Linked DNA regions of Arabidopsis thaliana. The protein of the gene in region 2 interacts with the protein of the main gene of each other region in a pairwise test. Each region holds a gene or a part of one and is shown on either strand. Other genes may lie near its edges.

Evidence for each region. Proteins that work in one complex are often made in the same cells at the same time.
Region 1: the proteins of PCL1 (region 2) and ELF4 interact in a two-hybrid assay, tested with the Arabidopsis thaliana proteins (one study listed by BioGRID).

The regions. Positions count from the first base shown.
Region 1 is NC_003071.7:16,732,656-16,738,568, reverse strand, and holds ELF4 (EARLY FLOWERING-like protein (DUF1313)), read left to right. Parts: upstream 1-3,656; 5' UTR 3,657-3,688; coding exon 3,689-4,024; 3' UTR 4,025-4,275; downstream 4,276-5,913. Other genes in the region: ATH9 (ABC2 homolog 9), read left to right, coding at 1-14, 186-884; AT2G40085 (uncharacterized protein), read left to right, coding at 1,677-1,896, 1,974-2,035. UniProt on the Arabidopsis thaliana protein: Component of the central CCA1/LHY-TOC1 feedback loop in the circadian clock that promotes clock accuracy and is required for sustained rhythms in the absence of daily light/dark cycles.
Region 2 is NC_003074.8:17,179,749-17,187,108, forward strand, and holds PCL1 (Homeodomain-like superfamily protein), read left to right. Parts: upstream 1-3,321; 5' UTR 3,322-3,499; coding exon 3,500-4,373; coding exon of another isoform or gene 4,374-4,471; exon of another isoform or gene 4,472-5,138; intron 5,139-5,140; coding exon 5,141-5,241; 3' UTR 5,242-5,303; exon of another isoform or gene 5,304-5,437; 3' UTR 5,438-5,606; downstream 5,607-7,360. Other genes in the region: RDUF1 (zinc finger (C3HC4-type RING finger) family protein), read right to left, coding at 1-276; AT3G46630 (DCL protein (DUF3223)), read right to left, coding at 1,390-1,560, 1,749-1,863, 2,261-2,598; AT3G46650 (UDP-Glycosyltransferase superfamily protein), read right to left, coding at 5,813-6,032, 6,842-7,360. UniProt on the Arabidopsis thaliana protein: Transcription factor that is essential for the generation of the circadian clock oscillation. Is necessary for activation of CCA1 and LHY expression.

The DNA of each region.
Region 1 (5,913 bases), on a different chromosome or scaffold from region 2:
AAGTATCAAAGCTCGTAAGCTCTTTCATCTATGTTCCTTAAAATATCATGCATTTCTTGAATTTAGCTAAATAGTAGTTGCCGTTCAAGTAAGAGTTTGGTAATTTCAAAGACTTATCTTTATAATACCTTGTAGACTACTATGAAGAAACAAACTTTGATATGCTTTAAACTCTTTTCTTGCAGGTGAGTCAAACATTTGCAGAAATGATGTTTAAACATGGGTTTGTGCACTGTGACCCACACGCTGCCAATTTGATTGTTCGTCCAGATCCTTCTGGTAAGAGGAACATATATGGCAAGAGAAAACCGCAATTAGTGATTCTTGACCATGGCTTGTACAAGGAGCTTGACTTCAACACAAGATTCAACTATGCTTCACTGTGGAAAGCATTGGTCTTTTCGGATGCTAAAGCCATTAAAGAACACAGTGAGAAATTAGGCGCTGGAGATGATCTATACGTCCTATTCGCCGGGATACTTACAATGAGACCATGGAAGCAAGTCATCGACACATCTGTGGATCATTTAGTCATCCAAGGCAACAAAGAAGATGTATCAGAGCTACAGATGTATGCATCACAGTACTTCTCCGAAATCTCAGAGCTTCTCAGGAGATTGCCACGCGTGATCCTTCTGATGCTGAAAACAAACGACTGTCTCCGGTCAGTTAACAATGAGCTAATGCAAGGATCGTCTCTCGAGTCGTTCTTGATCATCGGGAAAGTATCTTCCCAAGCGGTTTTAGAGGCAAAGAGAGCTGAAAAGAAATCGTTGATGAAATGGCTGAAGGTATGGTTTGAAGGGTTCTCTGTTGAAGCAAGGCTTTGGGTAATGCAATTTGCACTTTGGATCTTACAAGTCAGAAAATCCTTAACCCTTTAATATAAAACGTTCCTGCCAATTTTATATTACACACCTCTCTCTATTCTTTGGTAAGTGGGTATCAAAAAATAACATTTATCATTCTTTGTATACTACACAAGGCTGTTATGTAACAAACCAATAAATCAACTTTATATATACTATGAGATTTGTATCATTTGTATGCTGGGAAGAGCTTATTACTTTAAATTTTTTTTTATATAAATCTTATTATCTTCTTAATAGTATTTCTTACAAAAACAATTGAGAATTTCTACTCATTTTTTTCCATCATTTATGAGAACCTTATGTAAACAGGTGTTGACATCTGAATCAAATTGAACCGAGATGGTTCGGTTTGGTTCGGTTTTGGGTTTGGTTAAATTGAGAAACCTGAATTATGCAGCGACCAAGATCTTATTCTCTGTTCTGTCTTTTCAACACTCGAGTCTGTCTGTCTGTCTCTTCTACGCAGCCGCGACTCCTTCTGTCTCCACCGCTCTATAATCTCCCCTGCGATCAATAAGGACATTTTCTCCGGTAAAGTCTCTATCTTTCTTCGTCTCTATCATTTCGCTTTGTGTTTCGTGTCACCTACATTTGATAAACCCTAGAGAGAAACAAATTGAGTGCCTTTCGAAATCGCAGAAGCACATTGTTAAAATTCGATTGATGGGTCATTGTTTTATTACACGTAATCTATTTCTGTTGATGAAATTAGGTCTATTAAAGATGTGATTTTGATATTTGGGGTCTCACAGCTTTTTTGAAAAAGCTTACACATTTTGTTTGAATTTGTCATTGTTGTTGTAGATGGAAGAGAGTGATGCTGTTCCAAAACCAGTTGTTGTTGATCCTCCATTATACGACGAAGCTTCTCCGTCAGCTTCTCAGCGCCGTCCGGTGGTGATCGCCGCCGATGCAGCTCCTCCGGCAGAAAATCATCTCATTCAAAGGATTCAAAGAGCTCTTGTGGAATTGCGCGAGTTGAGAAATCAGTTTAATGCCATTCTTAGGGAACTAGAATTCGAAGGTTTGTGTGTGTTTCATCTTCCTATTCTACGTTGTGTTTTCTAGAAAAAGAGATAAACAATTTTGATGATAATGCAGTGGGAGAAGAAGAAGAGCAAGCGGAATCATCAGTGGAAGATCCAGAGGACTCTGATTCTTAGTTTGTTTATTAGACTTTTTTTTTTTGTTTCTTCACTAGTAACCTATTTCTATCATGTTTCTATCTCTCTGCCCCTCATGATTTCCTGCGGTAATTATCTTTATCACTCTAAATCATCAAAGCCAACCCTTAACAGATCAATAAGTCTACTAAAAGAGAAATTACAAGTTTTTTTGAAGGAAGAATCAAACACATTCCACATAACATATAATATGCAGTTGTCTATCGTAAATGTTTTACCTTGACAATGGTTTTCGCAAGTAACGCATAATGGTCGAGAAACATTACATTTGCGACGAATTTGAACCTTATTCCCATATATCTCGAGAAGGTGACATTGCTTCATTTATGGGTATTCACCAAATAAGCATTCAATATGAATGGTAGTAATAAAGATTACCACTCGTACTTCTATGAACTTGGATTCAAGTTAGAGCCATTGTGAGTCCACTTCTGAATCTTTCCACTTACCAACCCATTTAGATGTTGCAGAATTACCATTTCTATTGGTTTTCCTATCTGCTTCTTTATCTTTGAGAAGCCAGCTTAAGTTTTAGCGCATTTAGCTCTTATTGCAAGATTGCATTGTGTCATAAAAGGTCGTTCTAAGTAAAATCTGGCACATGTTTTTCCAGTTAGTGGATTCATTTGTGAAACAGTTTGGAAAATGTTGCGGTTAAGAACTGTATTGCCAAAAATAAATTAAATGTTTTTCATCATTACTCATTGGTGACTGAAATGAATTGAGGTCCCTATACTCTTATTGCTTCTCAGCATCGAGTTGTTTGTGCATCACCATTGTCATGACTCATGATTTTTAGAATCATTTATGCAATTCATCATCTTAATCATTATCATTATAGGATGATTGTATCATATATAACAGTCGAAAGGGAAGGGCCAAAAAAAGTGAAATAAAGTTTTGTTCTTTGTAATGGAAGAAAAAGTTGGGAGGAGAATCATGGTTTCACTATGGTTCTTTGGAATTTTGATTTTGGTAGTTAGTGCCCAGGTTCCGGGAACCAAATTCTGATCATACTACAAAAAAATATCTTGCGGATTATTGTAGCTCTTGTCTTGCATAACATGAAGCTTGGAATTAACTAAAGAAAGTTTCTTAGAGATTCTTCTTCTTGTTTGTTCTCTAAAGAATCTAACACTCTTTGTAATGTTTATCTAAACTTGGAACTAATTAGATGTGAAACACTACAATTCATTAAACATGAGATCATGCGTATAGGAATTTGGTTCCTGCTGCACCGTGGCAAGTCGTACACCATATACCTTTTTCCCTATTTTATTCATATTTTACTTTATATTCACTTTACAATAAATATCTTTAGATATTTCTACAATAAGATCCTTATCTCTCTCCATGGTTTAATTAAAAATAAATCCAAGAAAAGTGCATAAAAAGATATGTACTTTTTATTCCTCTACCCAATCACTTCACAGCTTCACTCACGCGCGTGTTCTTTGATATCAGATAGATACGTCTACGTGAGATACACGCTCTTGTTAATCAAGTGGTGATGAAACAGAACTTACTCGCCTCGGTGTCCGATTCTACTCAGAAGATATTTACTATAAATATCTGATTTCTCTCGACTTTGACGAAAATCAAAAAGAGAGAAAAACACAATTAAAAATTATTATGAAGAGGAACGGCGAGACGAAACGGCGGAGGAACGTGGCGGAGGAGGCAGAGCAGGGAGAGGATCCGGCGATGTGGGAGAATCTTGACCGGAATTTCAGACAAGTGCAATCAGTTTTAGACAGAAACAGATCACTGATTCAACAAGTCAACGACAATCACCAATCGAGAATGGCTGATAACATGTCGAAGAACGTTGCTTTGATTCAAGAACTCAACGGAAACATTTCCAAGGTTGTTAACATGTATTCTGATCTCAATACTAGTTTCTCGTCGGGCTTTCACGGTGGGAAGAACGGTCACGATGGTGGTGGTGCTGCCGGAACTAGAGCTTAATGAACCGGAATCAAATTGTTTCTTCTTAGTTGGACCGGCCGGTTTGAGAATTTTGAATCTGTCCGGTTCAAGCTATGATATAAAGTAAATGTTTAGTTTTTGTATTGCAATGATGATTGTCGTTAGAATAATCCGTGGGAGCAAACCCATCTCTATTGGGGTTATTTTAGTTATGGTTTTGAGTCTTTTTCAATGTGTCTCTACTGCAATCTCTCTAATGATTATAATAATAATTGATACAGTATTAGATTACTTCTGGTTTGATTCTATTTAGAGACTTTTCTCATGTGACCTTGATAATAAATGAAGGCTTGTGGTTAGATTGTTGCAACTTGGAGTAAGTAATTTCGTCACATAGTGATGCAATTTGGTATGACATGTTAAATACAGTTGTTTTCTAGTGACTTTTCACTAGGCTGTGTATTAGAGAACTCTAGCATAGAAAATTTCTACGTTGTGACAATATTCATTTCCATCAAAAAGCAAACAGAAACTGCAGTAAAATAAATGTTGATACATGAGATCATGATCTAAAACCCAGGCAAACTATTTCGGCATTCATATACCACTAGAAAGCAAAGATCTTAAGAAGACGAAAGAGCTTTTGCACAAAAAGGACTAAAAAGAAGCATAGTTATTTGAAAGGGGACAAATGGCCAATTTCATATCAAAACATGAACTATCAAACCTATAAGTTTTTTTTGGGATTAAAATGGCATATGAAGAGGTTTAAAGTGATTAGCTCTGCTGTGACTGAGTAAATTTATGATTTCACTACTTTTTCTTGTAAACTTCTTGTACCTTATATTCTCAGTCATCATAAAATAGCAAATTCTTGCTCTCTTTGTGTGTGTAATATGGTATATATAAGGAAATTATGTACGATACTTTGTAACATTTGAATTTGATTTTTCTGTTGAGCATTAAGAATTTTGTTCTTCGTGAGAAAAAATATTTCATACAAAAACGATTCAAAACCATTACAAACTTACTTTGTCTAAGCAGGAAAAATAATTGATGGTCGAAAAGGATAAAAAAACAGAGGTCACATTAATATCAAACTAAACAATTGAAAGAAAACAACTACTTGGGCCTGATGGGGTTTGTCGGGCTCGCAAGAATCGACTGCTTGTTGGAGTTGATGTCATTAAGCAGTTTGCACTTGGCTTAATTTGGACTGTGGTGGACATAAGATGTGTTAGATTAGAAACATTACAACACTGATATGGTTGATGTTATTCTTGAATCATGACTCATGAGGATACATTTTCATTTATATTGTTTACTCTTTAATCTTTATATAGAAGAGGATACATTTTCATATCATTAGATGTAATTGACATATTAAAGATTGTGTGATTGTAAGGATTTTGAAGTAACTTATATTCCTTTTTTTAGGAAATACACCACATGATCAAATCTATCTTCAACGTTTTCGTGTCATAATACTTCATTTATGACAAAATTCTCTGTACCATTTTGACAACTACTGGCTTTGTCTTCTCCAAACACTTTGTTTTCAACATGATGGTGTTCATCAGTTATGTGATGGTGGTGACAATGACATTGTACATGCCCTTGACCATATAAATCGTAGGAGAAATATCTGTCCTTTTATATTATCTTGTCTTACTGGACCATTGAATTTTTTTGTCTCTTTCATCAGATTAAGTTATGTAAACCTTTTTTCTTCATAGAAGTTCTTATATGAGCTTTTTCTTTTTTCCTCAAGAAGAAGATTACACGGGTATACATACTAGAGATAGAGGTACAGAGGCTAATCTCTTGACTTGTAGGCTTGAGCCTAGGGAAGACAAATGAAGGTGCAGTGTATTCCAAATTAGCAACATCTAAAATTTAGGATTTTGCCCTACAAGTCTCGACCAGTG
Region 2 (7,360 bases):
AGATCTATGTGTTTCCTCAACCGATCTAACTTCCGGAGTCGAAGCCGGAATCGCCGCGACGGTGGAATTAGAAGAATCTTCAATCTCTTCGATGAATCCACCGTTGCAATAAGGACATAAGACTCCAGCGTTTGCGTCTTGATCTTCCCAAACGCTGATGAATCGTGTACAACTGTAACACCAATACGACGTCGTTAGAGTCGTTGTTGTTGTTGTTGTTGTGGTGGTTGATTCTGTCGTCGGAGTTATTGTCGCCGATCTAGAATTTGGCATCATCTTTTGAAAATAACTTGTGTTGCTGGTGAAAGGATCTGAAGTTGATGAGAGAAGGAAAAAGGAGAAAAAAGATTTGTTTATATAATGTGGTTTTTTGTAGGTGAGTGTTAACGGTGTTACTTTAGACGGTGAGAACACGTGACAGTGTTTTGAGTTTTGACTAGGGGAGATGATGACGGAGTTATTAACGGTGGTCTCTTTGGAGTGAAGAGCGTCATTGACGTGTGCGAGATATTTGACCCAAATGTGAAAACTGTTACCTTCGAAGAAGTTTCAGAAGAATCAGCGTGGGACCTACCTTCGTTTCTTTCTTTGAAAGTTACTAAACGTCGTCGTTTTGTGGGGTAAGTATACTTTAGTTGGAGTACAAAATAATTTTGTTTGTTTGTAAATAATTTGTTTCACAAGGTAAAAGATCCATTTGACCCCAAATTAGAAAAGAAAAAGAAGGTAAAAGATCTATTTGTATTGATGTGAAATATATAATATAAATCTTTGAATTTTGGAAATGATGTAAATGTGTTCTTGTATATGTTGATTATCAACATATGTTGACATATTTTTTAGTTTGTTTAAGGACTAAATGGTTATTGGTTCAACTTTAATTTTGTCAACTAAATGCTTGTAGTTTGTTAACCAAAACATTTGACTTTATGAGTTATATATATGGAGTCAATTATGGGTTGGAATAAGGTAGATTCTTCTCTTATCCTCATCGTTTGGAAACATTACAAAGCGTACTGGTTTGGGTTTCTTTTTGAGATTGTTCATTTTGGGCTTTGCTCTCTGACAGTTTAGACTTTGGAAATTCTCTAGCTACTTCGAAAGTTTGAAGTGACAATATTTTTACTTGCAAAGGATGTTCGAAGTTTCAGCTAAAAAGATTTTACAACATGCAAATATTGTATTCCATAACTAGAATTACTTTCGGTCTCAAAAATTGATTGTTCTGCAGTCTGAACCAACTACTATTTTCCTAACTCATTCAAGTCTTCCAATAGATTGAGCAATTTATAAATTTTGTACAACAAAGCTTCATAGCTGATTGTGTTATTTCAGCTAAAAATTTATGAGAATTTGCTGTGATGATGAGTGGGACAGTTATACAGATTTTTAGCTACTAGCACGCTTAAAATGTTCACGAATAAACCTCTCAGCGTGAGACGGGTACTTATCTCGAACATAGGCTCGAAGACACTTTTGGTACGAGAAATCTATCCATCCACCATCTGTTCTCACAACAAAGAGGCATCTTGAGTGCCTGAATTGTGGATGCCGATCAACCTGCCAGTAACAAAGTAGCACACTCATAAGTCCATGCACATAAAGCAAATGAAGATTTATGGATAGAGCATGTAAGTAAGTCATATATCTATCATGGTGATTCGAGAACTATGCACAATACCTCAAGATAATTTCTATATGAGTAGAGCTTAAAGAGAGAGATATCGGGTTAGCTCGAATTTACGTACCATTATAAAATCAAGACCACAACCAATTTTGTCTTTGGAATATGGGTGATAAGGAAGAAGCTTTTCCATGACAATTTTCTCATCCTCAAAATCTAAGCGTTCTCCATCCAAATACCTGCTTACCAAAAAGGAAAAAAAAAACAGCTCACTAGAACTGCAAAAAGTAATCTACACAAAGAAAACAGCAAGTATGCTCTGAAGCTAGCTTCAAATGTCAATAGTTCACTAGAAAAAAGTTGTAATTTGCCTAATGTTCAAGTAAACTGAAGATATATACAAGAGCATCTCTCACTTTCTGCAATGACCACTATAATCCTATCATCCATTGCTAAAGGATCCTCAACAATAAGCCAAGAATATCATCATGTGTAATAGTCACCTCAAAAGGCCATATGGTGTCTCTATGTTGTTTGATTAAGCTACTGGAAGAAGCTATGAGCCTATACCTTCAATACTAATCCAAACATGGAACAGCTATTGAAGAACAATCAGCAAGAATTTGAAGAAATTACCTATCGGAATGAAGAATTTCTTTAGCGAGAAGAGAAATAGGTTCAATATCTCGAAGAATCTCAGCCTCTAGATTCTTCCATTTCCGATAATCAGGATCTTCATAACGCCAGCTATTATCAACAACAGGCGATGTCACGTTCATCGCCGCCGCGCCGGATCCCTCCACCGGAGAAACAGAATCATTATTCTCGTAAAACTGTGGTCTATCAGCAAGAGAACACAACAAACGCCGACGGTGACTGAGAATTCCACCAGCTACGATACCAACTTGATGACGATGGTTGAGAAATCCGTTGCGGAGAAGCGGAAGCGTTCTGAGAAGAAGTAGCGAGGTCATCGACCACAATCAAGGAGTAATATAGACAATAATAACGAATAAAACCCTAATCTGTACTAATCACTCGAAGAAGATGAAAAATTGGGGAAATCTCAGAGAATCAGAAATTTGAGAAGAAGATAACGTTTCGTCAGTTTGTGAAGTTGGGGCATCGAACCCGTGACGTTGAAGAAGCTAAACAGAGTAACTAAACCTCTCTGAGCCTTTCCACAATAATTATTTTCATTTTCTTAAAAGTTAGGTGCCAGCCAATCTGTGCCGTTAGATTGATCTTTATATGCTTCTATAAATATCTAAAACAACAATCCAACGGTGGAAAGATCACATTGCGTGTCAGTACTGTAGATACTCATCACCGAATCTTTCTCCTCTTTTCACTCTCCAGCTGGCCGAACCCACCGGTTTTGCCCACTTTCTCTCTAGGCCCGCAAACACAACTTGCTAAGTCGGTAGTAATTTACTGAAAAACCCTCACAAATAGCTGACTTGGCTCTTTTCACTCCACGTGGCTCCATCTTACGTGCCTAGTTTGGTAATTTCAATTTCAATCACCTAGATCGTAACTATTGATACATAATGTGAACTGATGACGTGTTGAAAAGAGATTGGTTAGGTCGGTTTGAAAAGATATTTAGAAGATCTAAAATATCTAGCTAACTCGTCCACGTTGGAATTAAAATATTGCGCTTTTTCCTGGAAAAGAAAAATATAAAACAAGTGATAATCTTCTCTTTTTCGAAATTGTTTCACTTCTGAAAAAAAAAAAAAAAAAAATTGTTTGCTCATCATCTTCACAAACCAAACTTCTCTTCTTCTCCGATCTCAGATTTGAATTTTTATCGATTTTGAGCTTCGAAGAGCTCAATCTCTAACTGAATTTCGAGAAATTAGAGAGTTTGAAATGGGAGAGGAAGTACAAATGAGCGATTACGATGTTTCCGGCGACGGAGATAGGGTTTCTGAATGGGAGATGGGATTACCAAGCGACGAAGATCTAGCATCTCTTTCTTACTCTCTGATTCCACCGAATTTGGCGATGGCGTTTAGTATCACACCGGAGAGAAGCCGTACGATTCAGGATGTGAATCGTGCATCGGAGACGACGCTCTCGTCGCTACGTGGTGGATCTTCAGGTCCAAATACCTCGTCGTCGAATAATAACGTGGAGGAGGAAGATCGAGTTGGATCTAGCAGTCCTGGATCGGATTCGAAGAAGCAAAAGACATCAAACGGTGATGGAGATGACGGTGGCGGTGTGGATCCGGATTCGGCGATGGCGGCGGAAGAAGGAGATTCAGGAACTGAAGATCTATCTGGGAAAACACTTAAACGACCGCGTTTAGTGTGGACACCGCAGCTACACAAGAGATTCGTTGACGTTGTAGCTCACTTAGGGATCAAAAACGCTGTTCCGAAGACGATTATGCAGCTGATGAACGTTGAAGGATTAACTCGTGAGAACGTTGCGTCTCATCTTCAAAAGTATAGGCTTTACCTCAAAAGGATGCAGGGATTGACTAATGAAGGTCCCTCTGCTTCGGATAAGCTCTTCTCTTCAACACCTGTTCCTCCACAGAGCTTCCAAGATATCGGTGGCGGTGGCGGTAGCAGCGGTAATGTTGGAGTGCCGATTCCGGGGGCGTATGGAACGCAACAGATGATGCAGATGCCAGTTTATGCACATCATATGGGTATGCAAGGATATCATCATCAAAATCATAATCATGATCCTTATCATCAGAATCATCGTCATCATCATGGAGCTGGTGGAAATGGTGCGTTTGAGTCAAATCCTTATATGATGCAGCAGAATAAGTTTGGATCCATGGCTTCTTATCCTTCTGTTGGAGGTGGAAGCGCAAATGAGAATTAAAAAGAGTCTATAGATGGATTCAATGGGGGAGGAAGAGATAGGTGAGCTTGTTATTGCTCGTGGAACTGATAATTATTGTCAAGTTTCTGTTTTTTTAAGTACAGTACAGTTATAATTCTTACTCGATTTGATCGAAATTTTCATCAAGTTTCTGTCTTTTACTATAAATGGTATACAATAAAGTCTTAATAATCACTTGTTTGGTGATGTTGACAGAGTTAATATAATCAACTAAGTTGAATTTGATTTTGAGATTCTTGTGCTATGTTGAAATGTTATTGAGAATTAAGTATCAAAATTGCTCTCATGTGACTTGAGACTTAATGTAATCCAGATCATGTTTGATTCATCTTCGGAATTATATGGTGGTTTTGAAAACCATGTGTTTAATTTTCTCTTCGGGACTAGGTAACTAACACTGTGAGTTATGTCAAATCCAAGAGAGCATATGTGTCATGTGGCTCGACATTTTCTTGTGTACTCTTTTTGCAGAAGTGATAGTGTCATGTTATTTTGGTTTTGGTTTCCTCATTGGGAAAGTCTTGTGATGTTTTTTGATCTAGACAAGATATTACCTGTGCAAGCTTTTAGGTAGAATGAGCAGTTTCTCTTTTATGTTTGGGTTCTGCATCTTTTGCAGGTCTTGATCATATTTGATTGTTGTTACAGGTTCTTGGTGTCTACAAAATTTCTTATCTTTTGCGGAGTTTTCCACCGCAAAGTCCCAAATTGCATCTGTTCAGGAGAGGATCATACAAAGTATCATGTAGAAGCTAAACCAAGAGAAGACTGCAGACAAATTTCATATACTCATTTTTCTATCTTGTAAGAGGTAAGTCCCTTTGTTTTATTTGTCTGCAGACTTCTTAAAGTGGTAATCAAGAGAGTGAATTGTTTATTTCTGTGAGAGATGGCGTCAGACACAAACTTTATTTTAAAAATTTATAAACCAATCAAATGTTTCAGAAGAAGCCATTTTAATACAATCAAGTATTCCTCATATGATGACCTTACGAGTGATTGGAGAGCCACATACCAATGAACGTCCAACAAAAGGAAGAAAGTGACATTTTAACAAAAGCAAAAGTCTTTCCAATGTTTCTTGCTGACATAGGTTTCAGCCACTTAGGGTTCTACTTTGAGATTTAGATAATAATTTCAAGACCTTTTCATCTCCAATATATGTTCATAATTTTCATTAATATATGATTGTTTCTCTGCACATCATACATTCAGTGACAACCTTATCTTCAGACCTTGATTATCTTATTTAATAGTAGCGAGATTCTTCTAGAATAGAAAAGTACATAGATTTCTTAACATCCACACAAGTAATTGTCTTCATAGAGTCATCATGAAGTGTTCAAACTCCTTTAGCGAGTTGTGTAAAGAACCTCCACCTCTAACAGAGGCTCTCAGCTCCTCCTTCAAAGTGACGGCTCTCTTTCTCATTTCCTCTCCTTCTTCGAAAACCGTTAACCTCTTCACAGCTCTCTCGACCGCTCCTCTTTCTAGATCACCCTCCACTTGAATCCCAATTTTCCAAACACACTCCAAGTACCTTGCGTTCACCCGAAAATGGCCTGCAAATCACCGGAACTCCTTCGCTGATCATGTTTTCTAGTATCGAGTTGCATCCTTTATGGCTCCAAAACGCCCCTATTGCAGGATGAGCAAGTACTTCCTTCTGTGGAGCCCTTTTCACAATGTAGTTGATACATATGTTTTCTACTTGTTTATAGGGCGGAAGCTACTGTTACTAAGAAACCTGCTTTTCCTCCATTTCCAAAACCTACAAGAAAACTAATAAGTAGCTCTCTAAGCTCCGGGCTTATAGATTACTCTGCTTCTCATCTTCTTTGAACGTTTTATATATATAAATATCAGATTCTCGCTTGTGGACACTAATTCATCCGTATAATGTTTTGTTAGCTCTCTTTGCGCACATGTGAAGCATGTGGTCGATGGTGTACGCAAGTAGTTACATCTCTTTATTTTGTTAGAGAGAGTAGTAATCAAAGACAAAAGAAAAGATGTTTATTGTGATGCAACAATTCTATATTGAGCAAACTGCCAAGAGTGATACAAAAGAAACCACACTTTGCAAATTTTGCAACAATTCAATTAATATTACATGAAGTTCAACATCTTTGCTTTGTCTTCAAGTAATTGACAATATCTTCCAATGCGTTGTATGAGGCGCCTCCACTACTGACAGAGGCTTTGATCTTCTCTTTCAGAACAAGGGCTCTCTCTCGCATCCCCGCACCTTCGTCATCCACGATCAACCTCTTCACAGCTCTCTCAACCTCTCCTCTATCCACTTTACCTTCCACCTGAAACCCTATTCTCCAAACACTTTCTATATACATTGCATTCAACTTTTGCTCGCCATGAAAGGGCTTGCAAATCATTGGAACTCCTTCTCCAATGCTCTCGAGTATTGAGTTCCATCCACAGTGGCTCCAGAAGCCTCCCACTGCAGGATGTCCAAGTACTTCTATCTGCGGTGCTCGTTTCACAATGTATCCTCTTTCAGAGACCATTTTATTGACATCCTCTGGCAATGACTCTATTCCGTTAGTGCCAAGGATAGAACCCGCTCGGATAACCCATAGAAATGGTTGGTTGCTATTACACAACCCCCAAGACATCTCCAAAACTTCCTTGGTTTCCATTTGACCAAGTGTTCCTATGCTTATGTATATCACTGACTTTGGTTTCTGCTTGTTCAGCCATTCAATGCAGCTCCTGTCCTCTTCAAGTAAACTAGAAGGTGATGAATCTGTCATGTGAAGAGGGCCTAATGGATACACAGAAATTCCTACTTTTTGTTCCAGCCATGACAGAGACGAGCTCTCTAGACAGCTCACCGTGTTGATGATAACA